Linked DNA regions of Danio rerio. Each later gene encodes a partner of the first gene's protein in a complex. Links are inferred from orthologs where the notes say so. Each region holds a gene or a part of one and is shown on either strand. Other genes may lie near its edges.

Region 1 (7,229 bases):
AACAGTCAATTTTCAATAATGGCATCAAATAGCTTTATTAATCTGTATTTCAAATTGCATGGATTAAAATGCTTTCCTATATAATATTTATTGCAAACCACTAATTCCACAAAAACAAACATATAAATCCTTGTACAAAATGCACAATATTTGACTTTGTCAAAATTTCTAGATACACAGTTATTAACGCAATCTTGCGACACATCAAAATTCAAGCATGACAAATCCAAGCTTGATTAATTAGAACACCAGTATAAATTCAGCAATCAGAAGAAAAACACTGTCTGCTACTGAAAATCATCAATATGCATTTAACACCGTTACAAAACTCGTTTCATCTGTTGTCTTCAATGACGATTGTTCTCCTCGGATATGTGTCTATCTCCACAAAAATATACCGAAATTCATACTTCCCTGTCTCAGGATTCTGTCACAAAGGAAAAACTGTAAAAAAACACATCTTTGCATGAAACAAACTTATTTTCTTTTTGTGATATTACATCATACCTCCTTTGATTCTGAATGAACAGTTCCTCGCAATCCTGGTTCAGATCCCTCAATGTAGAATTTCAGCCGCATGTACTTGAGTCCATCCTTCATGTACTCCAAATGACTAAAGAAAAAAAAAAACAAATATGTAATAATTGAGATATGAGATCTCACAGAAGAGTTTGAGTTTACTGATATTATGTATTTTACCTGACTTGTTGCCTTCTGCCACGTCTACTAGTTTCCCCAAAGCCTTTAATAGGCTCTCCAAAAGCTCCAATTACCTTAGCAAATATAGGTTAGCATAGAGTCACCATCAACATCGATTAAACGTATTTTATTTATTGTCAATACACATGTTGAGTATAGGGTAACGAAATGCAGTTAACATTTAACCAGAGTGCAAACATACTCAAGTTAAATGTGCATGCATCCGGAAAATATTCATAGCGCTTCACTTTTTCCAAATTTTTTTATGTTACAGCCTTATTCCAAAATGGATTGAATTCACTTATTTCCTCAAAATTCTACACTCAATACCCCATAATGACAATGTGCAAAAAAGAGTTTTTGAAATTGTTGCAAATTTATTAAAAGTAAAAAAACCTGAAAAATCACATAAACATAAGTATTCACAGCCTTTGTTCAATCCTTTTTTATGCACCTTTAGCAGCAATTACAGCCTCAAGTCTTTTTGAATATGACGCCACAAGCTTGGCACAGGTCTTTGGGATTTTTTGCCCATTCCTCTAGCACTACCTCTCAAGCTCTATCAAGTTAAAAAGGAAGAAACGGTGTACAGCCATTTTCAGATCTCTCCATAAGGTTCAATAGGATTTAAGTCTGGGCTCTGGCTGGACCACTCAAGAACATTCACAGAGTTGTTGTAAAGCCACTCCATATTTTGGCAGTGTGTTTTGGGTCATTACCCTGCTGGAAGATGAACCATTGCCCAAGTCTGAGGTCAAGAGCACTCTGAAGCAGGTTTTCATTCAGGATGTCTCTGTACATTGCTGCATTCATCTTTCCCTCTATCCTAACTATTCTTCCAGTTTCTGCGGCTGAAAAACATGGTATGGTATTAGCCTGGAGATGAGCAGTACATGGTTTTCTCCAAACGTAACGCATGGCATTCACTCCAAAGAGTTCAATTTATGTCTCATCAGACCAGAGAATTTTGTTTCTTATGCTCTGAGAGTCCTTCAGATGCCTTTTGGCAAATTCCAGATGGGCTTCCATCTGGCCAATCTACCATACACAGATCTACTTGCTACACAGATGGTTGTCCTTCTGTAAAGTTCTCCTCTCTCCACAGAAGAACGCTGAAGCTCAGACAGAGTGACTATCGGGTTACTGATCCCCTCCCTGACTAAGGCTCTTCCACCCGATCACTCAGCTTAGATGGCTGGCCAGCTCTAGGAAGAGTCCTGGTGATTCTAAACATCTTCTACTTACGCATGATGGAGGCCACTGTGCTCATTGGAACTTTCAGAGCAGCAGAATTTTTTTCTGCAACCCTCCCGAGTCTGGAGACAATCCTGTCTCTGAGGTCTACAAACAATTCCTTTGTCTTCATGCTTGGTTTGTGTTTTGACATGCACTGTCAACCCTGAGACCTTATATAGACAGGTGTATGCCTTTTCAAATTCAAATCATGCCCAATCAACTGAATTTACCACAGGTGAACTCCAATTAAGCTGCTGAAACACCTCATGAATGATCAGTGGAAACAGAATATACCTGAGCTCAATTTAGAGCTTTATGGCAAAGGCTGTCAATACTTATTTTCATGTGATTTTTCAGGTATTTTATTTTTAATACATTTTAAACAATTTCAAAAACTCTTTTTTTCACAGTGTCATTATGGGGTATTGTGTGTAGAATTGAGGAAATAAATAAATTTTATTCACTTCGGAATAAGGCTGTAAAAAAATGTGTGAAAAAGGAAAGCGCTATGAATACTTTCTGGATGCACTGTAATTTATAGGTTTACTTAATATAGACTGTGGAGAGGTAAGCATGATCGAACACCCAATAAAGGGGGAGAGCATGCTCAGAGCCCGGCGGCTAATCAGCAGGCCAATCAGAAATAATAAGCAACACCTGTTTATTCTAGTTTTTGGCCTGCTGATTAGCCGCCAGGCTCTGAGCATGCTCTCCCCCTTTATTGGGTGTTCTATCATGCTTACCTCTCAACATAGACATATTATAATGTTTAAATGAGGTAAAAGATGTACTGTATGCACACTACAGTAGAAAAACTATGAACATATGTTACAGATGAATATGATTAGCTCAATATGATTAGATCACAAGTTGTAGTCAACAGGCTGATTTATTCATGCATTTCAGACATTAGGTTTACACATATGTGATATATATAGCTAATGAATCACTGACCTCTGGATGAGATCTGCACCTCTCGAAAGCTTTTCCATAGATTTTGCTTGGGCTTGAAGAGGAAAAGAGTTCTTGAAAGACCACATACAGCAGGCCACCTAAAGCGATTAGAAAACATTAATCGGTTCACTTATTATACTGCTGAATAATATGTATATACAAATTAAAAAAAATATGCATAGAAATGATTATAACCTGCCTGCCTGCCTGAATTGCTAAAAGGTTCCACAGTTTTGCAAAGTGATGGCTTTATCATGTTATGACTATGGCTAGCTGTATTGACACAATATATATATATATATATATATATATATATATATATATATATATATATATATATATATATATATATATATATATATATATAGTAAAAAGTGCTATATAAATACATATGAATTTAACTGATTTGTATGATTATAATGTCTGTCTCATGTATTGTATTTGAGTCAGTGTTATCGTTAACAAAAAAAAAGACTTTGGAGCTGAAATGAAATATAAATACTTGTTTATTTATATGTTATATGGCGCAGTAGGAAGTGTTGTAGCCTCACAGCTAGAAGGTCGCTGGTTCGAACCTCGGCTCAGTTGGCGTTTCTTTGTGGAGTTTGCATGTTCTCCCTGCCTTTGTGTAGGTTTCCTCCGGGTGCTCTGGTTTCCCCCACAGTCCAAAGACATGCGGTACAGGTGAATTGGGTAGGCTAAATTGTCCGTAGTGTATGAGTGTGTGTGGATGTTTCCCAGAGATGGGTTGCGGCTGGAAGGGCATCCGCTGTGTAAAAACTTGCTGGATAAGTTGGCGGTTCATTCCGCTGTGGCGACCACAGATTAATAAAGGGACTAAGCCGACAAGAAAATTAATGAATGAGTTCAAAGTTGTTAAGATCACTATGTGCGTGGAAAAATATCATACACAAAATTACTAAAATCATTAAAAAAAAAAAAACTACTGAACAATAATAAACTATAATGAAGTAGTTGTTAATTTTAGTAATTTTGTTGCATTTTTATTAAATAGTATTTGGTTATTACATAATATATGTAAACAGATAATTTTGTCTTTAAGCAATACATTGCAAATTTCTTAACATGTTTAAACCATTGCAAGCATTACTAGAACGAATGACCATTTACTACATAGCCACATGTATGTTTTAGCATATTCATAACATATACTGTTATTAGCATGTTTTAATGCAAATGAGTTAGCATTTTGTCAGCATAACAAAAATGGTTAGCATTCCTAGAATGTCTAAACTCATGACCTGCATGTTGCTAAAATTAATTACTATGTTAGCAATAATGAACATTTTGCTGATACAAAATCCAAAGTGAATAAAATATAACTAATATCACTATTTAGACATCATCCTGTTATCATCATTAGGAAATGCATGTTGGTGCTTTCTGTTGGTTTTCTGGCACAGTAAGAACAGAGAATGGGGCCCTGAAACATAAGAGTCGTCAATCCAGACCTGGTTACCTGTTACACCGAGTCCAATGAGCACTACGATCAAATAGGTGAAATCTTTGCCAGCTTGTTTAACTGTTGAGGAAAGGAGACATTTATTTACTGAACAGCTACAATTCAATCTACAAGTAAATTTTTACAAATATTATTTTACTGCAATTTTGTAATGCCTATAAAATCACAATGGCTAGATTTATTTGTGATTTTGTTTTGTAACAATCCTCAACTAACAATGATGGGCAGTCCTTTTGTATTTTTTTTAATCAAAACTGTACTGTTTACTTCACTATCAGTACTTTATTAAAGTTTTTTTTTTTATTTTAGAAAATGTTTACTTTTAATTACCACTACTACTACATTTGAGTCCAAAACATTGTACCAAATCGTACCGAATTATTCATTTTTAAACTGGACCAATCTGATTGCATCTGTTATTGGGTCAACAAATTCTGATTCAAATAAACCATTTAGATTGAGCATTTAGTAATACATTAACTGCATTTACTAACTAATTATAAAAATGAGTCAATGTTTCCAACATTCTTCTTTTCTTCATTTCTTCTTCTTTTATGGAAAAAAAAGGTTAACTCATTTAGAACAAGTCTAAGTGAGTAAATCATGACATAATTTCAATTTTTGGAAGTACCCTTTAAAAATTGAACAAAGTTACAATAACAGAAAAATAATGTTTTTTTTGTTGTTTGTTTGTTTTTACTGCTGAAGTACATTACAGATATAAAATTGTCAGTTACATAGCATTCTTCATAAAATGTTAACACATTTCTCCCTGTTACACCTTTTGTATATTGTATGTTTACAATGTATTTGGGCTATTATCACTATAAAGTGCCTTTGATGTCTCACATGATTGAATCAGTCCTATATGAACTTAATGCGAAATAATGAACTTCTGATGTTTTAATATAATTGGTAAAACCTTTACACACAAGCGGGTAGAATTAGAAGTGTTTTGAAATATGTCTGTCAAATTTTCCAATATTCTTTTACTGAATGAATGTGATTTTTCCATGTCCCACACACTACACAGCCAACTTCAGTGAATCTAAAAAGTAGGTAAATTAGATAAAATTGAAAAGATTAAAAAAAAAAACAAGTTAAGTCTTAAACAAGTTATTTGTTAAAATATGTCATTTTGATAACGTTTATTTTGTTTTCATAACATTATTAACCATTTTGCATTGGTCCTTAAAATTGTTGTCCACTCCATCATAATGTAGTAAATGCTCGAATAAGAAACCCTCTACAGAGGAGGTTAAAACATCTGCTGTTCGGCCTGTCACAATAATCAATATATTGACTTATCGTACAACACACAGACATGTTTTCAATCATTTTTGGTGATGCAACATATATCGCCCATACATGAAAAACTATTCTAGTTCTAGCCACATTGTAGCTGATTACGTTTATAATCTGTCAGTGTTAGTATGGTTAAAAAAAACACTATAGTATTTACTATTAATTATTATAGTATTAGTATATAGTATTAATATTATTATTTATTTGTTTAGGATATACGTTTTCTATGAAATTACAATACCTAATTATTAAATTGTTAAAATGACTATAATTAAATATTCTTAAGAATAAAATATTGTGTTCTTTGGAGGGGTGTACTTGCATTACGATGCTATTATAGTGTCAAAATGGTCTTAAAATAATGATAATATTGTTTATCGCAATAACATTTGTTGCTATATATCAAACCACAAAAAATAGATACCATGACAGGCCTATCTGCTGTGCACACAGTAAGTATCTAAACTAACTTTCGTTTCCTATTTTTCCCCATATTGTGTTTGAAACTGAATATTGTCAAGCTTAACATTTCCACCATGTCACAGTGAAATATGAATGAATAAAATAATAATAAAAAAAATTAAAAATCTGAAAAAAAAAAAATTAAGCTTTTAAACTGTGTACAAAGAGCATATTTAGGAGGCACTTTATCAGCTGCAGGTAAAACATGTGTTGAAGAAATGCTATCTTTAGCCAAACAATGTCCTGTCACAAATCATTTTCTTTTTTTATTGACACTTTATTTATTTAATAAAATGTATTTTTTTAATGTATTTATTTATTGTTAATTAGTTAGTTTTATGTAACAACTCTTATACACACATACTTTACCAGCAATATCTTTCTCAGTCTATATAAAGGATATCCTTCTAAAGTCCATATAAAGGAGCTCATTGACTGTTTGAAATAAAAATACATACCAATATCCACCCTGTAATCTTGTTTACCACTGTCATGTTAAACTTTTATGAAAATAAATGTCCATTATTCTATAGTTAAGAAATCACATAGGATTTTTTTGCTAGGTTTATAAATAATTTGTTTAAGTTTGAAAGTTTAACAAAATATTTTAGATATTGGGTTTTATTTTGAAAAAGTGCTGGAGCTTGACCAACATTTATTTCTAACAGCTAATGTCTAATTAATGCAACAACTATGTGGTTAAATCAAAAACCTTTTTAATGTCTCAAAGGCAATTTAACTTGATAATGACCCATTTATTAAGTTCTGTAATACTTAAGTATAGTGCATATGTATATAACCAATCTTTGGTTATATAACATGTAAAAAGTAAATAAACACCAGTAAGTACTTTAATCGTTACTTACTTAACATTTATAACACATTAAAATAAGTTTTAAACACGTAACGTTACCTTTCTGTGTTGCAGACCCTCTGGAAGGAGTGTGTGGACTTCTGGAGACTGACAGTTGATCGGTGTCCTTCTGCTCATCTTTCCTACTACACAAATAAACTCCTGTATAAAGCGAGCGAGTGTGATAAAATGCCCACTTTGAACAGGGGCAGTGGTTTGTCTGAAACACGGGATCTA
Region 2 (8,862 bases), on another chromosome or scaffold:
TGTTGACAAGTCGTTCTCATTAATCATTCCCACAAGTAAGGAATATTCACCCATACATAAGGTCTTATTTGATGCATGGTAGCAAAGAGTTTTGTCAGTGTGTCTCGAATACTCAGTCCTCCATGAGGGACGCATTCGTCCTTTTCATCCATAAGTTAATCACAGGAGTCATGATTTGGGCTTGTAGGGATCAGACCAGACCTTCACACCTAATATAAAAGACACATAAATGATTGTGAGTCATAGAATGAACCTGTGTGTTTGAAAAATCATTCATATAGGGCCTAATGCAAATTAACTGTGTATGCAGAACTAGTAATTTAGGATCCTTAATAAAGCTACTTATAGCTTCACATCACAGATTACATGCAACTTTACACAATTTTAGATCTAATCAATTCAATTCATGTTTCTTTCTATAGCGCTTTTACAATGTAGATTGTGTCAAAGAAGCTTAACATAGAAGTTCTAGTAAACTGAAACTGTGTCAGTCCAGTTTTCAGAGCTGAAGTTCAGTTTAGTTCAGTTCATTGGGGTTTCATTTTCACTGCTGAAAGTCCAAACACTGAAGAGCAAATTCATTGATGCGCAGTTCCACAGGTCCCAAACCAAGCAAGCTAGTGGCAACAGTGGAGGAACATACTTCACCAATTGACAAGAGTGAATGGAAAAAATCTTATCCATCTTTAAAATATGTTCATAGTTTTACTGCTATAGTGTACATACATCTATTGCCTAATTTAAACTGTATACTTTGCCCATAGTAAAACATCCATGTATATTTTATACAAATATATATTATATCTTTCCATGCTTGTGTCAACCCACCTTATTCATATCCATAATGCTATCTCTATATTGTACCATCTGTATGTATTATTGGTCTTTGCTGCACTTACTGCTTATATTTGCATTCTGGTTAGATGCCTACCTGCATTTCATTGCTCTGTAGTCTACATTTGTAATGATAATAAAGTTGAATCTAATCTAATCTAAAGTGAAGTGTAATGTGCAAGTTTGCACCCTCACACTAACAATGCAATACAAGTCCACGATATTGGAAAAAAACTGACATTACAATATTTTTCTTGCTCTATTTGGAAAGAAGTCGTCATTTTACATTGATTCGGATGATTTTGTCGGGGGGTGCATTAGCATAACATTTTCTAAATTATTTTTAAAAAAGTATACGAAAAAAAAATTAAACGAAAACAATAGAACTGAGATAAAATTACATAAACAGTGCTTTATGGTTTTCAGTCAAGTCTAACAGTATTGAGGTACACAATATCAATAATCAAATGAAAAATAAACCATTGCATAAATATAAATAATTATACAACTAATGATTGATAAAGTGGCAAATCAGGGGTGTCCAAACTTGGTCCTGGAGGGCCGGTATCCTGCAGATTTTAGCTTCAACTTGCTTCAACACACCTGCATGATGTTTCTAGAAAGCCTAGTAAAGCTGCGGTCACTCTGAGTCCGAAACCGCATACTTCCATACTATACAGTATGCTAAAATCAGTATGCGAGCCGAGTAGTATGTGTGAATTCATAGAATTCGAAGAGCAGTATGCGAGAAGTACCCGGATGACTTACTACTTCCGGCGAGATTCTGGAGTGCGAATCGTATGCATGCTGCGCTATCCCATGATGCCCCGCGAGCGAATTCATGAATGGGATTAAAGCAACGCAAATGACACAGGTACTTCACGTGACTGGGTCAAAATGGCGGATGTAGTATGTTTGAATTCCATTCATACTTTTCACATTCATACTGTATAAAACATACTTTACTAACGACCGAGTAGTACGTTTAAGTTCAAATGCAGTACCTATTGAGTAGTAGGCGGTTTCGGACGCAACGTTTGTATGTGTGAAATTCTGTCGTACGGCACTGCGAAAAGGGGGTGGGACTAAACAAGATTATTAGACATTAAAAAAAGCGAGCGATTTCTCCATGTTTTAAATTTCTGTCCAGAGAGGTCATGTTTTGTTTCTCGATTGGTTTCACACAGACAAGTGATGCAATTTTGCAGGTCAGAATTCACTAAGCTAGAACTGCACCGCAGCGAACTGCGAAACTTAACGCATGACCCTGCGTTTCCGGTCTGATGCATTCGCGTGCGTATGAATGGAAGACTATGGGAAGAAAAGTCCAGTGTGACCGCAGCTTAAGAGCTTGATTAGCTAGCCCAGGTGTGTCTGATTGGGGTTGGAACTAAACTTTGCAGGACACCGGCCCTTCAGGACCGAGTTTGGACATGCCTGTTATAAACATTGTAATTTTGCGTTCAAGTGGTTGAAATTCAATTGAAATGGCTTGAGATGCAGTGATGTGACTATTGCTGATTCACACATTGCAATATCGATATGGAAATGATATATTGCGAAGCCCCTAATGCAATAAAAAATATGAAATAAAGAGTGTTTATGAATGTCTTACCAACAGGCTGTATGTCTGCTTGATTGACTCCAGCCCGGTTCACCTTCTGCACTTGCTCTGTATCAAGAGAGAGAAAAATTCAGACACCAAAAAAAGAAGAATACAAAGAATTTTAATTCAGGGTTTCTGCAGGTGTCATCAAGTCAAATTTAAGACTTTTAAAGGGCCCTTTAAAACCATTACGAATGAAACTTAAGACTTATACAGCGCTAAACACTAATGATGATTTCTAATGGCCCAGTTGGGATAATAGATTTTTGTTTTTGCTTGTAATTATTTCTTAGCGACACACTTTACTGTGTTAAAACAGGAAGACTCTAGTTGTATTCACTATTTTCAACATAATATTTATTTATTTTTAATGACAAGTTTAACATTGTTAAAAGTATATTTATTGTGGAGGCAATTCCATAAATAACCAAACTATATATTTGTTGGCCTTTGGTCTAAATTGATTGAGTATTAACTTCTATTCAACCTAATGTGTTTCTGTTCATAAAAACTTTAAGTTTAATGCCTATTTATAAATATTATGTCTACTCCCCCTTACTTCTGTAAAGAGTTTTTGTATGAATGGAAGATAATGTTAAGGGATATATTCATTCATTTTCTTTCGGCTCAGTCTTTTTATTATCTGGGATCTCCACAGCGAAATCAACCACCAACTTATCCAGCACCTGTTTCACGCAGTGGATGACCTTCCAGCTGCAACCCATCCCTGGGAAAGGAAAGGGATATATTACTCTGTTATTATCATGAGGAACTGTGTAATGGTTTTTAGTTCTCTTTCCTTGATTTTATTAAGATGGATTGTTGGTGATTGGATGGATGTTTGCCCGATTGTGTAGCTTTAATTGGACAGAGGAAAATTAAGATCAGTTTAAAATGATTTAAGACCTACAACACAATATTCCAGTGAATATGACTTTTTAAGGCCTTCAATTTTGTTTTAGAAATTTAAGACTTTTTAAGACTCCGCAGATACACTGAAAAACTGCACTGTAAAAAAATGCAAAATGCTGGAATCCACGCAATTCCCAACACAAATCAATTAAGTTAACTTAACACATAATAAAAATCCCCTACACTCAGAGTTTCAGCTCCTTCCATCTAGTCGTTGGTTTCTTGTAACAAGCTGTAGAAGTAAACGATACTTGTATATCAGAATCAGAAAAAGCTTTACTGCCAGGTGTGTTCACACGTGCTTTCCTGACAGAGCTTTCTACAGTGCAACAGAATTACAAAGACAGGACAAAAAAACAGATAAAAAAATGTATTTTAAAAATAGAAGTAGAAAGTGAATGCAAATATACAAATTGACAAGTGTGTGTACATGTGTATTATTATATACGTTATATGTGCAGCTGTTATGTGTAAATTGGCATGTAAAGTATGTTGCTAAATAAGTGTATATGTGGATTAAAAGTGTATAGCTATAGCAAGTAGTGATGTTTTTTCTTTTCATAATTATGAGATGGATTGCCTGAGGGAAGAATCTGTTATTGTGTTGGGCTGTTCTGGTGCACAGTGCTCGGTAGCGTCGACCAGAAGGTAAAAATTCAAAGAGGCAGTGTGCTGGGTGTGAGGGGTCCAGAGTGATTTTGGCTCTTGAAATAATTATTTATTTATTCTTTTTTTTTTTTTTTTTAAAGAGTGTACGTTTTGTACGTTTATGTTTTATGTCTATTTGTTGTTGTCACTATGTGAGTTTTTTAGTGTGGCACTGCTATGAAATGAGGACTCTTGACTGCAAACCAAATCTACCTTTGGGTATAAGTAACCTAACCTAATATACATACAACATGTCTCATTCAAGAGAGCTCTGCATTGTATGTAATTCAACGTAGAATAAAATCAGCATCATAATATGTGTACATTCCTTAAAACACTGAAATATTATTTCTATAATTTACATCAGATTATAACGACTGTTCAACCTGATTATCCCAATAATACGTTTTTTAAATGTATTTTTAAAGTTCTTTTTTATCATACAAGAAAGAACAATACAAAGATACAGTATGAACAAAGAAACAAAAAGGGTTACATGACTAAAATTCCAGCAAAATAAACAAGTTTAAAAGAGTTTTACATGTAATATAATAGTCCTTTCTGAAAATAAAAAGTAAGGATGTTTTTTTTTTTATTTACATTTATGAATGTAAAATTTAGCCAAAAAAAGCAATAAATTAATAATAAATTTACAAAGAGAAGGATCTACATTCAGAAAGTAACCAAAGAAAAACATTTTGGGGAAATACAGAAATTTGGAAATAAGATTTTTTTTAATGAAATCGAAAAAGTCAACCCAAAACACTTGACAGGAAGTGCACTCCCAAAATAAATTATTTAGTGTTTCATTATATTGAGTACAAAATGCATAAAGGGAAAATATTGTTATTATATTTAGCTAGTTTTGGTATTTATTGGATGGCAATTATGAATTATTTTGATTGAGACTTTAACAGCTTTATTAGATGAAAATAAATTTATAAGATAAGATTCTGACAGTATGATAACCTTGAATAAAATATGACAGTTTCACGGTTCTACGGTAATACTGTATATGGTATTGTGATTACTGATCTAAAATGTATTTTTTTTTAAATATCTGGGTAAAAATAAAACATTTTCCCCCACTTTAAACACAATATATTTTATTTGGAGAAACAGTTAAAATTGTTTAGAACAGTTAACATGTGAGGCTAAATAATTCAAATGAATCATTGACTTATGTGGTCTTCAATTGATTTAAAAACACTAACTTTTTAACCATTTAAAATGACATCGTTGGATATCGTTTCTGCTGGAGATACTGTTGTCATAAAAAAGAAATGTAAATAAAAAATCGTACACATACCTTAGAAACGGTAAGTTATATAAGAAAATGTTGACAATTTTAAAATCTTAACTTTTGCAAACCGCGCTATACCTTGAAAACCGTTAACAGTTATTTTCCCATGCCTAACGTTAATCCCAATCTATGTCACCAAATATATTATTCCAATACGATTAATAAGTTACAAAATGCAGGGTAATCGAATGTGACGTTATGACATAAGTTAAGTTTAGGCTGTGTCACGGTGACTTCATGTGTAGTAGTGATATTAAACACTTACTGTAGTCTTCAGAGTGTGTGAGAGGATGAAAAAATATAGGATAAAAAGCTGCAGCAACAGCTGCAACGAAGCCTCCAAATATGAGCGTTATCCTCTTAGAACTGGACATGATTTTGACAGTTTCACCTCACTCGAGGACGCAAACACACTCAAGTTGTTCCGGGGTGAAGTTCACGTTAGAAATAAAAAGTTTAAAGTCTGTTCTTAACTAAAATATATTATGCATACTTCAAGCGCAAAATTAGGGTTATTATAATGTTAATGAATATTTACAGAAGTATGATATTGTACTCATAAAAATAGAAGTATTTCATATGATCATGTCAGTGTTATAATTGATAGTGCGGCTTTTATTTTGCCCGGTGTTGTCCCGTCATGCATTGTGTATGTGTGTAGTGTTGCTGTGTCAGTGTGTGTAGTGATCGCCGTCTCTCAGCTGTAAAAATGTCCGGCAGTAACTCATACAGACTGCGCTCTTCTCTCCCGGCGCACGACATGGATGTCCGGGGTCTTGCCGCTGTCGCCTTCCCGGACGGAGCGTTCGTGTCGGTGTCCAGAGACCGGACCGCGCGGGTGTGGGTACCAAACCCAAGGTACTCCAGCTCCAGCTTCCTCCTGTTGTGTCTCACACCGGCTTTACATTTGTTTTTGTCGTATACTAAGCCGTTTGGTTCGTAGTTTACAGAGTTGTTTAGCTGTACCGTACGTTGGTATATTAAGCACACTATCATTCACTTTCATCTGAGACGAAACTAAAAGGCTATCATTTCCTGACAGTGACGGATCTAAAACACTCCACTAATGAGCGTTAAAGCAATAGTAACGGTATATCCAAAATTAAAATGAAATGATTTACTCGCATTCTTCTTGTTGTTATCAAACTGTATGTTCCCTTCTATCCGTGGAACTGTTTTGACATCGTTACCATTTACTTCTTTTAACAAACAATGAAACTGAATGAACACTGAGAGTCATTCTGCCTTTTGTGCTCCACAGAAGAGTCAAGCACTGTTAACACATTTTGTGTGAAAACTATGTTTTTATAATTCTCTAACGTCATAAATTGAGTTCCGTTCTTTTTATGTGAAGCTTTATTACTTATTTATTGGTATCCATCACTGCCAGACTGTGCCAGTGCATTAGAGCTGAGCGTTGCTGTTTACTTAGAGAATGTAGGTTACATTTAGAAACACAAAGGCATAAATAACTGCGTTAAAATGAAGATAACGTTTAAACCAACATTAATTTAGAATCAATGGTTTAAAAAGGTGTATGTAGCAAATTAAAATCCAAATTAAGAAAATATTTGGTGATTTTATTCGGCAAAAGTGCATTATATTGGTTCAAATGAACAATGTATGTATTGTATAAAGAATTAGTTATTTTAAATGACTGCTTTTATTCCCTAAATTATAGTTTCCACAGAAATATTAATCATAAGAATATTTTCCAAAATATAATAAGAAAAAAATGAGGAATAAATTTTCAACATTTTCTCAATTTTTACCGAAATAAATGATATTTTCACAATTATTCGTATCATTCATTCATTTTCCTTCAGCTTAGTTTCTGATTTATCAGGGCCGGTCGCCACAGTGGAATAAACCACCTAGCCATGGGCTGGTGTAAGATTCTGATGGTATGATAACTTTGGATAGCAGTATTACAGTTGATTGCTGCTGTAAAATATATTCTTTTTTTTATTGTCTGGGTAAAATACTAAAACTTTTTTTCTCTTTGAACACAATATCTTTTATTTTGAGAAACATTTAAAGTATTTTGGAGCAGTAAACATGTCAAGCTAAATAATTCAACTGAATCTTTGACTTCTGCTGTCTTCATGTGTTTCTAACACACAGATTCATTACAATTTTAAACAACATCTTTTAATATCTTTTCTGCTGGAGACACTGTTGACCTAAAATTTAAAAAATGTAAATAAATGTTTGTATAGGACCTTGCCTCTTCCAAACGGCGGTATACCTTCAAAACGGTAATCGTTTTTCAACTACACATATGGTTTTATCCAGCCACAATCTAGTACCATGCTGGGAAACGTTATAAGTATATTATTAAAACTGAAAACAGCTATTTTAAATTTTAACAATATCTGACAGCACTGTATAACTTTTTACTGTATTTTTGATTGAGTAATCGCTAAGCGTAAGAGGCTTAGTTTAGAAATATAAAATACTTTTGAACAGGATGTATACATGTATCGGAGGCCAGCTAGTGAGTGCTGTGCAGGTAAACCTCACTCCTGACCTCACTCCTCTGACCTCTGGGTTACGTTGGTGCCGTGACCCGTATGGGATTGAGGTTTGGGGGTGAGTGTAACGGAGGCCAGCTAGTGTGTGTTGTGCTGTGCAGGTAAACCTCACTCCTCTGACCTCTAAAGGTGCTCTAGCGACAGACGCTAGAGGCCATGTTTTTTAGCCTCCTTGTTAGAGCAACCGACTCCCATGCGGGAGGTCGCTGGTTCGATCCCAGCTCTGAGTGGGTTGGGCGGTGTAGGACCGGTGGGCTTACATACAGAAAATTATAAAATAAAAAAATGTTGTTTTGCTTTTAAAAATGACACACTTCTGATTAGGGCTGCATGATATTGGAAACATTGTAAAAAAAATTCTCTGCCATATATATTGTGATCTTATTTCACCAGATGACTTAAATAGCTCTATTTGCAAAGTCATTACTTGGTATGATTTTGTAGGGGAGTGATAAACATGTATATATATATATATATATATATATATATATATATATATATATATATATATATATATATATATATATATATATATATATATATATATATATTTGTAATCTATTATATACAAAAAATACAGTCATAAATAAACACAACTGAGCTAATATTAAAGTGAAATAAACAATGCTTTATAGTTTTCTGGAGTGAGCAACAGTATTCAGGTACAGAAATTGAATAATCAAACGTAAAATTGCACTGTATAGTCTTCACCAAATAATTTAATAAAAATAATCTTTATGAAACTTTTTTGTGCACTACAAAAATGCTTTAAACTCTCTTTAAATGCTCACACAGTCACATGACCTAAAACATGCAGATGATAAACTTTCACTCTATAACTGTTCAGTTCTGCAGTGTCTCCACAAATCAGGTGTGTTTTGACTTGTGGTTTCTGATCATCTTTAATCCTAACTCAACATTGCACGTCTTGCAATGTGACTTTTGCAAACGCACACATTGCAATATCGAAGCACAAATGATATATTGTGCAGCCCTACTTCTAACATTGCCTTTTAAACTCCTCT

Evidence for each region. Proteins that work in one complex are often made in the same cells at the same time.
Region 2: timm21 (region 1) and smim20 share a complex: the UniProt entries of both Homo sapiens proteins name them as parts of the MITRAC (mitochondrial translation regulation assembly intermediate of cytochrome c oxidase complex) complex. The link is inferred for Danio rerio from reciprocal best matches to the Homo sapiens genes TIMM21 and SMIM20.

The regions. Positions count from the first base shown.
Region 1 is NC_133199.1:17,612,810-17,620,038, reverse strand, and holds the end of timm21 (mitochondrial import inner membrane translocase subunit Tim21), read right to left. Parts: coding exon 7,053-7,229; intron 4,433-7,052; coding exon 4,370-4,432; intron 2,988-4,369; coding exon 2,890-2,987; intron 774-2,889; coding exon 700-773; intron 614-699; coding exon 508-613; intron 428-507; coding exon 335-427; 3' UTR 10-334; downstream 1-9. UniProt on the Homo sapiens protein: Participates in the translocation of transit peptide-containing proteins across the mitochondrial inner membrane.
Region 2 is NC_133182.1:65,049,170-65,058,031, reverse strand, and holds the start of smim20 (small integral membrane protein 20), read right to left. Parts: upstream 5,735-8,862; 5' UTR 5,678-5,734; coding exon 5,569-5,677; intron 2,507-5,568; coding exon 2,450-2,506; intron 210-2,449; coding exon 169-209; 3' UTR 1-168.